Elephas maximus indicus: one gene and its partner. The main gene of each other region encodes a partner of the protein of the gene in region 2 in a complex. Links are inferred from orthologs where the notes say so. Each region holds a gene or a part of one and is shown on either strand. Other genes may lie near its edges.

Region 1 (9,317 bases), about 140 Mb from region 2:
TACCATGAGCTGCAAGAGGTGCTGAAGGGACATTTGTCTTCAAGAAACTTACAATCTTGTTTGGGATATAGACACACACAACATTGTGTCATCTTGGGACAGCTGCATATGCAATGCTGCCCGTGGAGAGAGGAAGAGGAGATTAAGTTTTTACTGACACATGGTATCAGGGAAGACTTCAGGGAAAAAGTGGCATTTGGAATGAGCCTTGAGGAATGAGTAGAATGTTCTCAGGAGGACTGGATTAAGGGCCTTCCAGGTGGAAGAAACAGCATAAGTAAGGGCACAGAGAAGGGCATAGGTGGGTATAGGAGGCCTGAAGGAGGGGCACAGGATCTGATATGGAGAATGAGATTCAGGGGGTAACAGATGGGAAAATAGTTTAAAGTATTACTTCCTGTTCTAGGTGAACTTAATGCCTGGTGTTTTCTGCTTAGGACAACACCCTTTTCAGAAGCAGACTCCAAAATGCTGCATCTCCCCTCGTGGTTCTCATATTCTCAGTAAAGTCCACAAGTCCAGGCACCTTGAACTTGAATTAGGAAAAGCCAATGGCTATATTTTAGGCACATGTGTTAACACTCGAAAGACACATAAACTCTCTGTCAGCAGAGCAAATATTTTTCTTCTCTTCCTCCGTTTTTAAACCCAACACGCTGCCTCCTTTTTTCCAAACTAGAAGTGCAACTCACTCGCCTCCAGCAGGTCGCTCTCTCAAAATATATCAGAGGAAATTCAGTGGTTCTTGAAAATAACTGTAACCAAAAAGCCTACAAGTGCAAAAATTGTCTATTGAGCACAAGCTATGTTAGGTATAACCAGAAAATAAGTCCAGTTGTTTGTAAGTCTGTGTTTCAATAAATAAGTGCCTAGTGGTGTAGTGGTTAAGAGCTACTCTGCTAACCAAAGGGTCAGCAGATCAAATCCACTAGGTGCTCCTTGGGAACTCTATGGGGCAGTTCTACCCTGTCCTATAGGGTTGCTATGAGCCAGGATGGACTTGATGGCAACGAATTTGGTTTGGTTTGGTGGATGTGAGCAAATGCAAACTAAACTTTCTCCTGGGCATTTCTCAGGATCGTGACTGAGGTTAGAACGAAAAGCAGAGCAGGTTGAGAACTGTAGTTTGAGGCCAAAGAAAAAAGGGAGGGAGGGAGGAAGGAAAGAAAAGAGAAAAAAAAACCTGAGCATTCTTCTGACAAAGGGTAAAATGACAAGGAATAAAAAAAGCCTTGTTGCCTTCAAGTCAATTCCAACTCACAGAACAGAGCAGAACTGTCCACATAAGGTTCCCAAGGCTGTAATCTTTATGGAAGCAGACTGCCACATCTTTCTCCCTCAGAGAAGTTGGTGGGTTCGAACCACCAACTGCTGATTTTTCAGTTAGCAGCCATACGCTTAACCACAGCACCACCAGGGCTCCTTTGACAAGGTAAATTGGGCTGGATTCTCTTCCCCTGGAAACGAAAGAAATCACACCAACCCAAGCCATTGGCTTCTGTCCATGGTGCTGACATTTATTCATTTTCAAACCGCTTTCAGTAGCAGGTGGGGTGTATCCTAAAAGTTAATGGCATGGGGGTAGGAGAGGCGGGGGAAGACACAATTAACCCATTTTATCTACAGTTAGCATAAAATATGAGAAACGTTGACCAGAAGCTGCTGCTGGAACAGGTGCTCGTCAACTCGATGGCCATGGGGTAGGACAAGGTTGAGTGAGAGATCCCAGGGGGTGAGGGTCTCGGAGTCTGCCTGGGTCTGGGCCACCTTTTCTTCCCTGGCCATTATCTTCGGTACTACAAAAAGAACACAGACATGTTGGGCTCAGTGACCAGCTCTACAGGAAAAGTCAGCTTTGGATGACAGTGCTACATCTCTGAACTAGACCTCTGACCAGTTACTTCTACCAGCTCCCATGCTCACCCTGATGACTCTCTGAGTTTCAAGAACTGGTAAACAAGTTACTCATTAGCAGCTAGTGAGGGCAGCCCTTGTCAATTTCACTTGATCTTTTGGAATCTTGCAATTCTGGGAAGGAACATGAATGCCAATCAGCAGTACAAAGATGACTTGGGCCTATGAACATTTTAATTTCTCTGTGCTAGTGGCAGTAGGAATGAGCCCTGGTGGTGCCGTGGTTAAGCACTTGGCTGATAACTGAAAGGTCGGCAGTTCGAACTCACCAGCCACTGCGAGGGAAAGCCTGCTTCCATAAAGATTTACAGCCTTGGAAACCCTATAGGACAGTTATACTCTGTCCTATAGGGTTGCTATGAGTCAAAATCCACTTGACAGCAATGGAGAAAAGGGTAGTGGCAGTAGCTGAGGATGATGGCATTTGTCCTGAAGGGCCACCCACCAAGTTAGGGCAGAAATTTCAAAGGGAACAAGCCTTTATGCTGGCTCCTTTCCTGCTGAAAGTGTCCCCTGGTTGTGTTCTTTGACAAGGTTTCAGCTTCAACAAAGCCACAATCTCTTTCCTCCCCACCCCATTTCTACCCCCACTCCTCTTACCCGGAAACTGTTGCAGCCGAGGCCACTCTGGGATCCAATCCTGTCAATCCTGCCCCCGAAGCAGCTGGACCTCCGCAGGCTCCGAGGGGCAGTGAGTAGTGCCCTCAGCTTGTTTTTCAGGAGGGCAGATCTTTCGGAGGAGTCCCAGGGGCCCCTCCCAAGAGCACCCCCATCTCGCTGAGCTGGGCTGACCTCCCTGGTCCAGGGAGGCACCTCAGGCAGGGGGTTGACAGCCACCCCAGCCTCATCATTCTGCTCGTTTAGTACTTGCGGGGGCACGACCTCATCTTCTAAAGGCATCTTGTCCTCCAAATGGTCCAGCAAATTCTTTACAAAAGGAAAATACAGGGAAAGGGAAAGTTCTCATGGGCTCGGAGAAAATCACCAGAAATAGGCACAGTATCAGAAAGCCCCTTGGTCCCAGGCTAAGCCCCCTTTCTTGGCCCTACCTTGAAATCCATCAGGTCTGCATTGGACACGGAGGTGTACACAGGGTTCGCTCTGATTTGACCTGGGAGTTGAAATGCCAGGAAAAGGAGGAAGCACACAGTGATGGTGGAGAAGGAGCCCATGCTGGCGTTGGCCAAGAGCTGGTCTGGTGCTTGCTGCGTCTTCTCCTTCCTCTCTGGGTTCCTTCTCGTGGTCTTCGTCCGTCTCTGCCTACCAGCTGCCCTGAGCCGCCTCCTTTTATAGCCCCCCCAGCTCTCCGAGAGCACAAGAGGGATGGAACCCTCCCCATTCTGTCACTTGCAGCGATAAAGCAGCTGAGTGAGGAGCCAGCAGAAGATGCCCTTTTAAAGTTATCAGCCCAGCAGAGCTTGTCCCAGCCCCTCTGCCTTGAGCAGCCCCAGCAACCCCCCAGACCCTCGGCTACAAGAGCCACATTCTTGCTGATTGGCTTCAAGAGGCTCCCACTTCAAAGGTGTGAGAAGAGCAAAAAAGAGTCCTTGGTTATCTCACAGTGATGCCTCAGGATTCTTTCTCCTCAGCAACAGGACCCATGCAGGGAAGTGAAGGGTGGCGGTTGGCCGGCGCCCAGCTCCCCCAGTTGGTTTGTGGTTCCGCTGGCAGCGGCTCCAAATAAGGGCGGGACAGGAGGAAATGGCAGGCAGCCGGCAGCTCAGGACAAATCAGCCCAGATGCTCAGGCTGGCCTCACACCTGACTCATGAGCAAGCGTGGCAGACCTCCTGCCTCTGTTTGAGACAAGACCGCCCACACTTCTGATAGTCACTCTCAGCAGTCAGGTGAAGAGGGAGCTATTTTTTAGAGTATTAAATCAGCCAGGAACCAAATGTGATGAACGTCTCAAGAATTCAGCTCCCAAATACAAACACCAAGAAAAGCTGGGGGAATCAGTCATTCCTCTTCCAAACTCTGTCTCCTTCCCATCCCCCATGATCCCATCCAAGGTGTCCAGGGAGGTAGGCACTTAGAAGATGCCGGTGTTTTTATTTCTTCACCTCACTGTTTATAGAAGCTCAGACTTGTTGAGTTTGATGCTTGTAATGGCCCCCCACCCTTCCCATGAAAGCTTTGATGGCTGGATACAATGAGGTGGGAGGCAAACCTGATGTACACAGTTTCCGTTAAAACCCACCATGTCCTTCTCCAGGGCCAGCCAAGTGACTGAACCACTTAAGGCCTCAATTTTCCTGAACCCCAAGGACAAATAATAGGCAGCGAGTCTGTCCACATTTAATGAGTGGCCCCCACATTCTAAGTGCTGAACTCGACTTTAGTATACCATTCAATGCAACGCATGTTGCTGTTGTTAGCTGTCATAGAGTTGGCTCCGTCTCATGGCGACCCCATGCACAACAGAAAGAAACATTGCCCATTCCTGCCCCATCTTGATGATCGTTGGTATAGCTGAGTCCATTGTTGTAGCCACTGTATATTTTGGGTGCCTTCCAGTCTAGGGGCTCATCTTCCAGCACTATATTGGACAATATCCTGTTGTCCATGGGGTTTTCATTGGCTCATTTTTGGACATAGATGACCAGGTCTTTCTTCCCACCCTCTTAGTCTGGAAGCTCCACTGAAACCTGTCTGCCATGGATGACTAGGCTGATATTTAAAATACCAGCGACATAGCTTGTAAACAAGCTTAGCATAGCAATATGCAAGTCACCGTTGTACAACACACTGACAGACAGCTGGCAATGCATACTGGAAGAAAAAATACTAAAACTGAAAGGTTGAGAAACCTGCATTGTAGCCCAAAAACAAACCAGTTGCATAAGTTTTTGGGACCCCCATTTCCTCATCTATGAGAAAAATATAAAAAGCTGTCCTGCCCACTTCACAGGGCAGTTGTGAGGCTCAATAGAGCCAGCACTGTGTGAAGTGTGAGATGCTATATAATTGCAAGGGGGTAGTAATGATGGTCTTTTATTGATCAGTTACAATGAGCTGGCACTCTGCTGAGAGCTTGATGTGAATTACTTGATTTTCCTCACCGCTCCCAGGAGGTGGGTAGTATTGTTCCCATTTGCAGAGAGCCAGAACTGAGACTTGGAGAGATTATGTCACTCGCCCAAGGCCATGTCATTTGCCCAATTGGCAGAACCAGGACTTGAGCCCCAGGTTTGATACTTAAGCCCATGATCTTAACCCATTTCACATGGCGGCTCATTAACAAGCCCTTGGGTGCATTTCCTGATTAAATGCCTCCCCCCACACTTGATCTCTCCCATTACCCTGAACATCTCTTGCCTCCTACTGCAGCTGGGCTTGTAGCTTTGTGTGTGGGACAAATCTCTCTGTGTTTGGCTGCTCTCCCCATTTGGATTTTCTTAAAGAAAGGGCTCATCCAGTCCCCATAATCTGTTTACACACCTAATACCAACCAGAATGCTCCTTAGGAGCTAGAATAACAAGACTTCAACTCACTTACTTTGGACATGTCATCAGGAAAGACCAATCACTAGAAAAGGACATCTACTTGATGAAGAACAAGGCCAATGAAAACAAGAGAAACCCTCAATGAGATGGAGTGAGAGAATAATCTCAATAATGGACTCAAACATACCAACGATCATTAAGATGGTGCAGAACCAGGCAATATGTAAGGTCGCCATGAATGGGAGCTGACTCAATGGCAACTAATGACAACATGGAAATTCAGAAAATGTATGTTGAACAACCAGCTCTGTCCTGGCCAAATCCTTCTGCAGCTGCACTTACTCTGTGACCAACCAGGCAGAGAGGCTGTTACACCATGAGAAGACAGGGCATTAGGGCAGTTGGTGGCCAGAGGTCCCCACAGGTGTGCAGAGTGATTTTATTGTAAGACGGAAGGAAAAAGGGATCCTCTTCAGAAAGCTTGGGGGTTTGGGTAACTTATCTGGGTCAGTCAAACTCAACTTGGCATCTGAAATGGGCCACAGTTCTGAGTAGGAGCTCTGGGAACTAAACACCCCCATACCCTGATGCGTCCCCGAAATGTGCTCACAGCATAATTGCTCGGCTGGAAGTTATTATTAGCAGAGAGGATCCAGCCTGCAGCCACGCTGGGGGGAGCTGATGCCGCGTGCGTCACACAGCCTGTCTCCTGGAGATGCCCTTTGAGATAGGCCTTTGATGGAGGAAGACTTCGAGGCCTGCATCAAGGCAGGTGGCCCCTTCTTGATGGCTCGGCCTCTGAGGGCCACGTGGCTGCTCTACCCTGAGTCATTTCTGAAGCCTGTAGGAGACTGTAGGTGGCCCAAGGTGAAGTAGAATCTCATCCAAGATTCCAGAAAGACAATTTCGGAATTTGCTCGCTTCCTTTTATTGCAGTCACTTTTCTGCTCCCAGAGTGAAACTAGAGTGGGACACAAGCATCATTTGTTGAGTTTCTTCTGCTAGTCAAATTTGTGTTTGTGTGTGTGTAAGTTTTATTATTATTATTTTTTTCTAAGACAAAGGACATTCAGGCTTCCTGCCCTGAGGGCTTTCATAGAGCCAGGACTACCACCTCCCAGGGCCCAGCGAAAACAGAAAATCCTCAAAAGCACTGATATCCCCATTAAAGCTTTTGATTTCAGCCTGAAATGGAAAATGGCTTGACATAACATTTCTCTTCACTTCCATGCCCTGCTCAACTTCGGGGTGTGTGTGGAGAGGTGGAGGAAGGGGTGTTTGGAAGCCAGTCTGTAGGAGTGAGAGAGAGAAAAAAGCAAAAGACGCAAAAAATCAGATCCACCCTCCACCCCTACCTCTCTAGCTGAAAAATCGCAAGTGTTTATTTCTTTATCACAGGCAAGAAGTTGTCTTAGTCAAATGAGAGAATGAGCAGTGCGGATGGGTAGGAGAACCCAGAGTCTGGGCGTCTCCAGTTGCTAGACCAGAGCTTGGTCTCACAACCTTCCATGGGAATGTGGGGGCTGCTGCAGGGAGCACACGTGGGCAGAACTAGCAGGAAAAACCCATCTCAGTCATAACATGATTCTGTCAGACCCAGATAGTCTAAAGCAGAAGCCCCAGTTGGGAGAAACTGTTAGGACGCCGTTGCATACTTAGGGACGGTTGTTTCTGAGTTTGAAGGTGCTGTTCTTTTTCTTGCATACAATATGGACTCACTGGGGACTGGAAGCCCAGGGCAGGTCCCAAAGTAGAACAAGGAAATAGAGAAAGCTACTTCCTCAGCTGGATAGTGACTACCATGAGAGCAGTGATTCAGCCTGGTTCACTGCCCACCTTCCCTAGGAAACAAAGCCCAAGGCAAAAGCTCACTTACTGCAGCTTTATAGGGGTTCCAATTCAAGGTAAGAAGGCATTGGTAGTTCAGTGGTAGAATTCTTACCTGCCATGTTGGAGGTTTGATTCTCAGCCAATGCACCTCATGTGCAGCCACCACCTGTCTCTCAGTGGAGGCTTGCATGTTGCTATGGTGCTGAATAGGTTTCAACAGAGCTTCCAGACTAAGATAGACTAGGAAGACAGGCTTGGCAATCTACCTCTGAAAATCAGCCAGTGAAAACCCTGTGGATCACAATGGTCCAATCCACAACTGATCATGGGGATGGTGCAGGACTGGGATTGTTTCATTTAGTTGTGAATAGAATAGAACAAAAGTCATGGGATGTCACTTCTGACTTTAGGTGACGATGAGACTATGGCTTCCATCATTGCCCCATCTCCCTGTCTGTCCGTCTCTCTTTTGTGCACATGCTTTCTCACTCCATCTAAGAGGTCAGTTGCCACATTGTGAGCTGCCTTATGTGGCAAGGAACTGAGGTCTTCAACCAACAGTCAGCAAGGATCCAAGGTCTGGTCCTCAGGTTCCATCTCTCCTTGCCAGTTGGAGCTGCTCCTGGGAACATATGGTGGTAGTACCAAGGGAGGAGGGTAGTGGCAGCCACCAGGGCTTCGAAGTCACGGGAACCATACCAGCTGTTGTTAAAGCTGTATTTCCTGGGAGTCAGAGGTATAGGCGGGCCAAGCAGATATGAGGTTGAGCATGAATCAACTTCAGGACACTACGGCACCCAGCATCTAGCACAGACTCCAGAACATGTTTTCAGAACATGTTTTGTGAATAACTGAACCAACAAGTTTGCCTTCAGTGCCTCCCCTCCCCTCCTTCAACCAGGTACAGACCCACTACTGCACCTTGCCCTCCCTCGGTCCCCAGCAGAAGTGGAAATCACTCTCTGGCTGAAGCATGAATATTCTGATCTCTCCACTGATGCAGGAAGAAAAGGATTAGGGGAGTCTGGATAGAAAGGTCAGCTAGGAAGTAGGAAGTGGTGTACCCATATCAGCATAAGTGATGAGGGGCTGAACCAGGAAGAGAAGGGAAGGAGATGCTATGAAGGAAGGTAAGAGTGGAGGTGGTGCCTGCTTGGGAAGGTCCACCGAGAGAATGAAGTCAAGAAAGATTCCAAGTTGATTGCCATCGAGTTGGTTCCAAATCACCGGGACCTATGTGCAACAGAACAAAATACTGCCATCCTCACAATTGTTGCTATATTTGGGCCCATTGTTGCAGCTATTGTGTCAGTCTCTCTTGTCCACCTTTCCTGATTTTGAACCGTGAAATATCCTCTTGTTCCGTTCAAACAACTCCTTCTTGATCTATGTATACTTTCCTCATGAGCACAATCAAGTGTTCTGGAAAGAACACTTAAAGTCAGCAAAGTTGTGTGTCAGGGTTGTACCCTTTCACCATACTTAATTCGATCTGTATGCTGAACAAATAACCCGAGAAGCTGGACTATATGAAGAAGAACGGGGCATCAGGATTGGAGGCACATTCATTAACAATCTGGAATATGCGGATGACACAGCCTTGCTTGCTGAAAGTGAAGAGAACTTGAAGCACTTACTGATGAGGATCAAAGACCACAGCCTTCAGTATGGATTACACCTCAACATAAAGAAAACAAAAGTCCTCACAAGTGGAACAATAAGCAACATCATGATAAACAGAGAAAAGTCTGAAGCTGTCAAGGATTTCACTTGGGTCCACAGTCAACACCCATGGAAGCAGTAGTCAAGAAATCAAAAGATGCGTTGCATTGGGCAAACCAGCTGCAAAAGACCTCTTTAAAGTGTTGAAAAGCAAAAATGTCACCTTGAAGACTAAGGTGCACTTGACCCAAGCCATGGTGTTTTCAATTGTCTCGTATGCATGCAAAAGCTGGACAAGGAATAAGGAAGACCAAAGAAGAATTGACGCCTTTGAGTTGTAGCGTTGGCGAAGAATATTGAATATACCATAGACTCCCAAAAGGATGAACAAATCTGTCTTGGAAGAAATACGACCAGAATGCTCCTTAGAAGCAAGGATGGAGACTATGTCTCACATACTTTGGG
Region 2 (9,073 bases):
TCTTTTGCATTCATAGAGTAACGTTTATTATTCCGTCCCTCCCTCCCCCATCAATTGAAAATTACATACATTTTTTTCTACTTCTTAATGTTGAGTAATGTATTATGCCCATGTAACCACCACCCAGGTTAAAACAAAGAACATTTCCATGACCTCCGAAAATCACTTCACACCCCTTTGCCCTGCCCCTAGAGGCAATCACTATTCTGATCTCTATTATTATGGATTAGTTTTTGTCGGTCCTTGAACTTCATATAAGTGGACTTATACTGTATGTACTCTTTTATGCCTGGCTTCTTTCGCTCAACTCGTTTTGAGATGCTCGCACAGATTTGCATTGATCAACAATTTATTCTTTTTTATTTCTGAATAGCATTCCCTTGTGTAAATATATCACCATTTGTTTATCCATTCTCCTGTTGATGATGTCAGGACCGAAAACAGGCTGAGACATGCAAACACTTTTGGGTTGTTTCCATTTGAGGTCATATATGTAAAGCTGCTATGAACATTTTTGTAAAAGATTTCTTGGGGTCCTATACATTCATTAATCTCGGGTAGGTGTAGGTGTGTATATGTACAGTATTTAAATTCTATATTTTAAGTCTCAGAAGACTTTAATACTTATTTATTAAATTAATGGTCATTTAGAGGAGCCCATATGTGTGCCATTTTAATGCTCTTTATACCTTCCTGCATCTCCAACCTTCCATCTGGGGTAATACTCCTTCCGCCTGAAGAATACCCTTTAGAATTCAGTGCTTCCCTACTGGTGGCTGACTCTCTTGGTTTTGGTTTGTCTGAATATATTTTTATTTCACCGTTGTTACTGAAGGATATTTTCTCTGGGTATGGAATTCAAGCTTGAAAGTTATTTTCTTGCAGCACCTTTACAATATTATTCTACTGTCTTATGGCTTCCATTTTTTGCTGTAGAAAAAACACTTGTCAGTCTAATTGCTGCTCCTTTGAAAGTAATCTATCCTTTTTTTTTTCTTTTTTAAATATTTTTTCTTTGATTTAGTTTTCTACAGTTTTATTCTGCTGGGTCCAGGTATGGATTTTCTTTTTCTTAACCTTGTTTGAGGTTTGTTGAGCTTCAAGAATCCATGGCTTGACGCCTTTCATGCATTTTTAAACTTCTCAGCCACCTCTCTCCAAATATTGCTTCTACTCTATTATTTCTCTCCTTCCTGAAATTCCAAGTAAAGGTGTGTTGGCCTTTCTCACAGTATCCTCTATGTCTCTTTCATGTTTTCCTTTTCTTTTTTGTTTGTTCGTTTGTTTTCCATGCTTTATTCTGGGTAGTTTCTTCTGTCCTTTCTTCCAATTCACTAATTGATCCTCAATCAAGTCTAACCTGCTGTTAAATGTATCGATTGATCCTTAATTTTGGCTTTTGAATATTTTGGTTCTGGATTTTCTACTTACTTTTTTTTTTTAATAAAAGCTCATCTTTCATGAAATAAGAATCATTATATAGCTTTTAATGTCAAATCAAAGAACCATACTATTGGAAATACAGCACTGTCCCATTCCCACAAAAGTAATCTATTTACTTCAGGTTAACTCTTCTCCTAAATTTCCCCTAGGAGTCCAGCCTTTCGGGGTCGGTCCTAACCTAAAACAGGAAGGTAGTTTACCAGAGTCCTCACCTTTGGGGATATTTGCATTCCAATTTTTGTCTCACTAGCCTTACCACCTGTCTGTCACTTTGTCATATTGTGGTGACTTGCATGTTGCTGTGATGCTGGAAGCTATGTCACGAGTATTTCAAATACCAGCAGGGTCACCCATGGTGGTCAGGTTTCAGTGGAGCTTCCAGGCCAAGACAGACTGGAAAGGAAGGCCTAGCAATCTACTTCTGAAAATTAGCCGGTAAAAATCTCCTGGATCACAACAGAATAGTTTCCAATATAGTGCTGGAAGATGAGCCCCCTAGGTTGGAAGGCACTCAGAATACACAGTGACTGCAACAATGGACTCCAGAATGCCAAGGATCGTGAAGATGGTGTAGGACCGGGCAACCTCCTATTCCATTGTAGATGGGATCGCCATGAGTCAAATCCACTGAAAAGCAGCTAAGAAAAACAACAGCCCGCCAGCCTATTTTCTGCCACCAGTTCTGGATCAGCAAATGAACCCAGGGCAAAAACAGCCCTACAGCTGGGCTCAGCTCTTTGTTTTCTTGTCCTTTCATCTCTCAGACCAACAATTCCTCACTATCTTATTAGTTCTTTGATTTTTGAAAAAATATTTCTTTCAGCACTTGTAGTTGTCTCCAGCTCAGTTATTTAGTCCAGCGATATTGAAAGAGGAGCTCAATAACCATATTTTTCGCAAATAACCTGCACACCTAAATAACGTATCCACACATATAACGCACATACTGCCTAGGAAAATAACGTGCAAGGGGGTTGCTCCGTTGGCAAAAACATAATACGTGCATCATTTGCATAACAACTCAGGGCTAAACTGTATATCTAGTCCAGTCATTTCTTCTGACTCCAGCTCCACTAACCTAGTAGCTAATGAGACACCTCCATTTGGGTATCCACAGTCTTCTCAAACTCAACAGACTAAAATTGTTTTCATCCCCACCCAGCCTCAGTTATTTGTAAACTGTCTTCCCTTCCCAAAAATCTAATTGATTCTACTTTTGAAACATCTCCTATCTACCTCCACTGCCTCTGGAGCCCCCCTTACAGGATACAGACATTAAGCAATCCTTAGTCTATCACTGTCATGGATTGAGTTGTGTCCCCCAAAAATGTCTGTCAGCCTGGCTGGGCCATGAGTCCCAGTATTGTGTGATTGTCCACCATTTTATGTGATTTCCCTATGTGTTGCAAGTCCTATCACTATGATGGAATGAGATGGATTAGTGGCAGTTATATTGATGAGATATACAAGATTAGATAGTGTTTAAGCCAATGTCTTTGAAATATAAAAGAGAGAAGCAAGCAGAGAGACAGGGGAACCTCATACCACCAAGAAAGCAGCGCCAGGAGCAGAGTGCGTCCTTTGGACCTGCCGTTTCTGCACTGGGGTGCTCCCAGACCAAGGGAAGATTGATGCATCACAAGGACCTTCCTTCAGAGCCAACAGAGAGAATCTTCCCCTGGAGCTGCGCCCTGAATTCGGACTTCTAGCCTAGCGGACTGTAAGAGAATAAATTCTCTTTGTTAAAGACATTCACTTGTGGTATTTCTGTTATAGCAGCACTAGATAACTAACACAGTCACACAAAAGCTTTCAGGGTCTGCCCTTAGCAGCAGCTTCTCCTCCTCAGTCATTCCCGTGTGCAAACACCTTACGTGCTAGGTCAGTCTGAAAACAACTCCTACCATGACTAGGCAGGTGATGTGAATGAGTGAAGCAGGGTAGGAACTTGGATGAACTAGGCTCATCCAAAGGAGCTGAGGAGTAATTTGTTCCAGTTGATTGATTATGGGGGCTGCAGGACCGATATTGCCTGCTCCTCCGATATTTCAAGAAAAGCCAGAAATTGAGATGTTTACGTGTCGTCTGCTAATTTTTTAATGCGGGAAATGAAATAAAATATAGGTAGAGAGTGAAGGCCAAACAAAACATGCCTGCCATCTGAATTTGGCCCGTGAGCGCCATTTGCAACCTCCGCTCTAGACCATAACAATATTCAAAATTCTCCTAGAATTCCGTATATAGGAACGATACTTCAGTATTCTGTTCTCTCTGCACAGAATAGCTTTCTTAACCTTCAATTCTTGTCGAATTATTTGTAAATTTTCCTGATCCCCAATCCAGGCAGAATTCATAGCTCTTATCTGAGCACTCTGTGGTGCAATAGGTAAGCCTTTGGCTGCTAACCAAAAGGTCGGCAGTTCGGATCCACCAGCTGCTCCTTGGAAACTGTGGAGCTGTTCCAATCTGTCCTACAGGGTCACTGTGAGTCCGAATCGAATCGACGGCAACGGGTTTGGGTTTTTATGCTTTAAATGTGGGCATCTTAGCAATTTATCCATCTCTCTGTTGTAGTGCTTAACCATATTGTATTGCGCTATTTGTCCCAAACAGAGCTCCTCAAAGGCACGGACTATATACACGCATCAAGCCGGGCGCTTGAACCATAGTCGGTCCTTTGGCAATGTGCGCTGAATCGATGAAGTTTGATCTGTCCTGCCTACGCGCAGGATTGGGGGGTTAGCGACGCAATACCGTCAATGACTTCCACTGACCATTAGAGGGCAGACTGACTCCACGGAGGTCTGGACCAGCTGCCCAACCGTCCAATGCCCCAAATTGTTCTTCCCAATTGACACCTCCACAGGTCATTTCTAACGCCTTCTCCCACCGCCGCAGATCGCATTTTAGCAATCTTCTACAACACAGAGCAAACACATCCACTTTCCGGAAGCGGCCCTGAGGTCACACCTTCCCACCCACCCACCCACCCGAAAAACCAACTTCTTTCAACCTTTTGGGAACTAAAGAGTTAACTCTGTCCTCCCACTTGGTACATTTTCTCGGCTAATCCACTCAATCTAGAAAGCTGTGGGGAGGAAAGGGGCGGGGAACCATAGATGGACTGGGTAACCGGGACTCTGGGCTCGCTTTCTACTTTAACGCCTTTTCTAGAAACCCGTCGCCCTCTCGCCCCACCCCCAGCCACACACAGCCACACACTCACACCTTTTTCTGCCAGGTTCCCAAACTAGCATATCTTTCCCTCTTCCCCAGATGGAACCAGGTGGGAGGGGTAAAACAAGGTGGGTGCAGGGCCCTCGGCTGCTCCCACACACATCTCAATTCAGCGCTCCTTCCCATCCTCGCGAGGGAGCCCCTTCTGCGGGCGCCCCTTTCTGAGGAGGAAAAGGTTGTCCTGCCGAGAAGAGGAAAATGGGTCTAAGACAAAAGCCGCGGGCTGTGGGAGGGTGAAGGGAGCCGGAGACTTCGCGACCGGGAGGAAGGAGTTAAAGATCCAGGATTGGCTCTTCTGTCACCAAGCCTGGGAGGGGAAGCGGCCTGGAGGGGAGGGTTCGGAGCTTGGCTCGGGTCCTCCTCAGTCCCCACCGGACAGCAGGAGACTTGAGCCGGCCGGACACCCCTTCTGGCACACTCCCTGGGGCAGGCATCACGCACGCATACGAACACACTCCTGCTCCTTCCCTCCCTCGCGCCCTCTCCTAGCCTCCCCAGAGCGCTCGTTCTCTAGTTCGTTCCTACCCTCTCTCTCTCTCTCACACACACACACGCACACGCACACGCTCACGCTCACACTCAGATCCTCCCGGCTCGGGCGCTCTGGTTCCCGCGCCCACCTGCTCTGCTGCGCCCTCCGCGCGCCACGGGGCACGCCCGCCCGTCGCGCGCCCTCGCGCTCCTGGCCCTGACTGTCGCAGCCGGAGGCGGCAGCGTGCCCGGGGTGAGGGCCCCCGCCCCGCTCCTCCTCCCTCCTGCAGGGGCGCGCCGGGTGCCGGGACTAGCCGCTGAGCCACAGCGGACCAAAGAGGCCATGGTGGGAGCGCTCGCCCGCCTTGGTGCCCGCTGAGGCCATGCCCGGCCCCGGGCTCCCCGTGGGCGCCCGTCTGCCCCTGCTCCTGCTCCTGCCGCCACTGCTGCTGCTCCGGGGCACCCACGCCGGCAACCTGACGGTGGCTGTGGTGCTGCCGCTGGCCAACACCTCGTACCCGTGGTCGTGGGCGCGCGTGGGGCCGGCCGTGGAGCTGGCCCTAACCCGGGTGAAGGCGCGGCCCGACTTGCTGCCCGGCTGGACGGTCCGCACGGTGCTGGGCAGCAGCGAGAACGCGCTGGGCGCCTGCTCGGACACGGCCGCACCCCTGGCCGCCGTGGACCTCAAGTGGGAGCACAACCCCGCGGTGTTCCTGGGCCCGGGCTGCGTGTACGCGGCCGCCCCTGTGGGGCGCTTCACCGCGCACTGGCGGGTGCCGCTGCTGACCGCCGGCGCCGCGGCTCTGGGCTTCGGGAACAAGGACGAGTACGCACTGACTACCCGTTCGGGGCCCAGCCACGCCAAGCTGGGTGACTTTGTGGCGGCGCTGCACCGACGGCTGGGCTGGGAACGCCAGGCGCTCGTGCTCTACGCCTACCGGCCGGGCGACGACCAACCCTGCTTCTTTGTCGTGGAGGGGCTGTACATGCGGGTCCGCGACCACCTCAACATCACGGTGGACCACCTGGAGTTCGCCGAGAATGACCGCGACCGCTACGCCCCGCTGCTGCAGACCGTGCGGAGAAAGAGCAGAGGTGAGTGGCGGGCACACCCAGCCCCGCCGCTTTGCCCCGGGGCCATCTTTTTTAACTCGATGTAGGCTTAGGGATTCCTTTCGCTCCTCTGGGCCAGTCTTCTTTCTTGTCCCAATGGCTCTTCGCTCTCGTCCCAGGCTCCCTGGACCCTTCTCTCTTCTCACCTCCCAGTCACCTCCACCTCTCCCACCTCTATCCCACCGGGTTCCTTTGGCGTTAACCCATTGCTGTCAGTCAATTCCGACTCATAGTGACCCCATGTGTTACAAAGCAGAACTGAGCTCCATAGGGTTTTCTAGGCTATAATCTTTTACGGAAGCAGATCGCCAGGCCTTTTGTCATGGCACAGGTCGGTGGGTTCAAACTGCCAATCTTAATGTTGGTAGCTGAGTAAACCGAGCGAGAAAATGATCTGCGTCACCCTGGCACTTAGTAGACACCTGGCTTAGTTCCCATTCCTTTTTTTCTCCCCCATTTTCTGTCTCTTACAGCATTCTCCCTTCCTCCATCCCCTCCTGCCATTGCTCCCCCACTAGGGCTCCTCTCCTAGTCCCTTCTCCAGCTGGCTCCTCCTCTCCCTCTCCCACCTCTCCTGGCCCCACCTTCCCCATCTTCAGCTTCTCCACTCTCGCCTCTCCCTTATGCTCTGATCTTTCCACCCTTCCACCCTGTCTGCCTCTTCTCTCCACCCTTCATTTTTCTCCTGCCACAGCCTGGACTGAGCCAGGAGTTGCCACTTAACGCCCACAGGGAGTCAGTCCCCAGGGTCTCTCATGTCCTCATCTCTGAGCTTCCTTCTCTGGGTGTCCCAGTTTTCCTCCCTGGTGTCTTCCCTGTCCCACTCCCCCAGGGCCTAGGCCTCTCTCTCCCTGACTCCCCCTTCTCCCCCAGTTATCTACATCTGCAGCTCCCCAGATGCCTTCAGAACCCTGATGCTCCTAGCCCTGGAAGCTGGCCTGAGTGGGGAGGACTATGTTTTCTTCCATCTGGATCTTTTTGGGCAAAGCCTGCAAGGTGCACACGGCCCTGCTCCCCAAAGGCCCTGGGAGAGAGGGGATGGTCAGGATGTCAGTGCCCATCAGGCCTTTCAGGTGAGTGCCCAGGTTGGAAGCCCAGGCTGTGGGACTCTGCCCTCGTGGCATGTCGCCTCTGGGCACTGGGTCCCCTCAGGGTCTGAAAGGATTCCAAGAAAGACGTTCTTAATGTTCACAGGGAGCTACATGGTGAAGGGCAAGGGGGCTGGGGGGAGAAGGGTACAGAGAACTGGAGTGGGGGTGGGGTTGAGCACCTGGAGGTGAAAAAGATAGGAGAATGGACTTGAGGTGGGAGGACGTCAAAGTCCCACAGACTGGACAGCACTTGGAGAAGCTGTTCCATTCCACTGGACCTCTGGCTTTGAGGCACACACCACCTCATGCAAAACTTAGGGGCCAGTTTTACCTTGAGCTGAGCAGACATACAACTCTGCGAGGTAGGTTCCCAGGTAGCTGGGACCCCAGGATCCTAGGAGGTCTGGAATCTTCTCCCAGCTCTGCCCTCTCCACTGTCCATTTCCTCAGGCTGCCAAGATCATTACATACAAACAGCCGGATAATCCTGAGTACCTGGAATTCCTGAAGCAGCTAAAACACTTGGCCCGTGAGCAGTTCAACTTTACCATGGAAGATGGCCTGGTAGGAGGGGTCCCCTGTCCTGGGACCCTCCTGGCATGAACCCCCAGCCCCATCTGCCGGTCTCCATCCTGTCTTCTCTGCCATCTCACTGGTCCCAGGTCTCCCTTCTCTCCCTTCCCATTGTTTCTGTGTCTCTCCTGATGATGGAGGGGGATACTGGCAAGCTGTTCAACCTCTATGAAACTCTGGTCTTCATCAGTAAAATGGGGACCCTCCTCAGAAGTGAAGCCGTCTTACAAGTAGTAACTCTCTCTTTCACGTGAGGGTGTTATTTTATCCCATCCTCTTCCAAATTCTTGGTTCCCCCAGTTCCCTCTGCCTCAGTGCCCAGCTCCAGCCCTGTGCCCACCATACACTTGACCCCAGTCAAGCTCTGTTTGCCTTACAGGTGAACATCATCCCAGCATCCTTCCATGATGGGCTCCTCCTCTATGTCCAGGCAGTGACAGAGACTCTGGCATATGGCGGGACTGTCACTGATGGGGAGGGCATTGTTCAGAGAATGTGGAACCAAAGCTTCCAAGGTGAGAGGTGCAGGTGGCTAGAGATGGGCCCCTGGAGAAAGCAGTGCGTAGTCACTCACGAACGCCGGTCTTTTTCCCTCACCTATAATATGAAGAACTTCCACAGCTTCCTTCATGCCCTCCTTCCCTTGTCTGCACTAGGCCCAGTGAGAAATCTCCCCAAAAAGACAGTAGATAAGTGGTAACTTTGGTAAAGGGTAAGACAGTACACAATACTGGGGAAGCCAGCACAACTTGTCCAAGGCAATGTCATGGAAGCTCCGTAGACACACCCAAACTCCCTGAGGGACTGAACTGCTGGGCTGAGGGCTGTGAGGACTGTGATCTTGGGGAATGTCTAGCTCAATTGGCAGAACACGGTTTATAAAGAAAATGTTCTACATCCTACTCTGGCAAGTAGAGTCGGGGGTCTTAAAAGCTTGAGCGGCCATCTAAGATATTCCACTGGTCTCACCCCATCTGGAACAAGGGAGAGTGAAGAAAACCCAAGACACAAGGGAAAGATTAGTCCAAAGGACTAACGGACCACAACTATCACAGACTCCACGAGACTGAGTCCAGCACAACTAGATGGTGCCCAATTACTACCACTGACTGCTCTGACAGGGATTACAATAGAGGGTCCCGGAC

What was found.
Region 1: the proteins of NPR1 (region 2) and NPPA are in contact, whole or in part, in a crystal structure (PDB 7BRG), measured with the Rattus norvegicus proteins. The link is inferred for Elephas maximus indicus from reciprocal best matches to the Homo sapiens genes NPR1 and NPPA. Residues at the interface, in NP_036745.1 of Rattus norvegicus: Asp90, Val115, Tyr116, Ala119, Pro120, Arg123, Ala139, Leu140, Gly141, Ile142, Val144, Tyr148, Tyr182, Asp184, Leu186, Gly187, Asp188, Asp189, Arg190, Phe193, Phe194, Val196, Glu197, Tyr200, Met201, Arg204, His213, Gln214, Glu215, Phe216; in NP_036744.1 of Rattus norvegicus: Arg126, Ser127, Ser128, Cys129, Phe130, Gly131, Gly132, Arg133, Ile134, Asp135, Arg136, Ile137, Gly138, Ala139, Gln140, Ser141, Gly142, Leu143, Gly144, Cys145, Asn146, Ser147, Phe148, Arg149, Tyr150.

The regions. Positions count from the first base shown.
Region 1 is NC_064821.1:51,712,288-51,721,604, forward strand, and holds NPPA (natriuretic peptides A), read right to left. Parts: upstream 3,309-9,317; 5' UTR 3,087-3,308; coding exon 2,964-3,086; intron 2,842-2,963; coding exon 2,515-2,841; intron 1,797-2,514; coding exon 1,785-1,796; 3' UTR 1,502-1,784; downstream 1-1,501.
Region 2 is NC_064821.1:191,508,594-191,517,666, forward strand, and holds the start of NPR1 (atrial natriuretic peptide receptor 1), read left to right. Parts: upstream 1-4,962; 5' UTR 4,963-5,534; coding exon 5,535-6,246; intron 6,247-7,137; coding exon 7,138-7,337; intron 7,338-7,805; coding exon 7,806-7,919; intron 7,920-8,307; coding exon 8,308-8,443; intron 8,444-9,073. UniProt on the Homo sapiens protein: Receptor for the atrial natriuretic peptide NPPA/ANP and the brain natriuretic peptide NPPB/BNP which are potent vasoactive hormones playing a key role in cardiovascular homeostasis.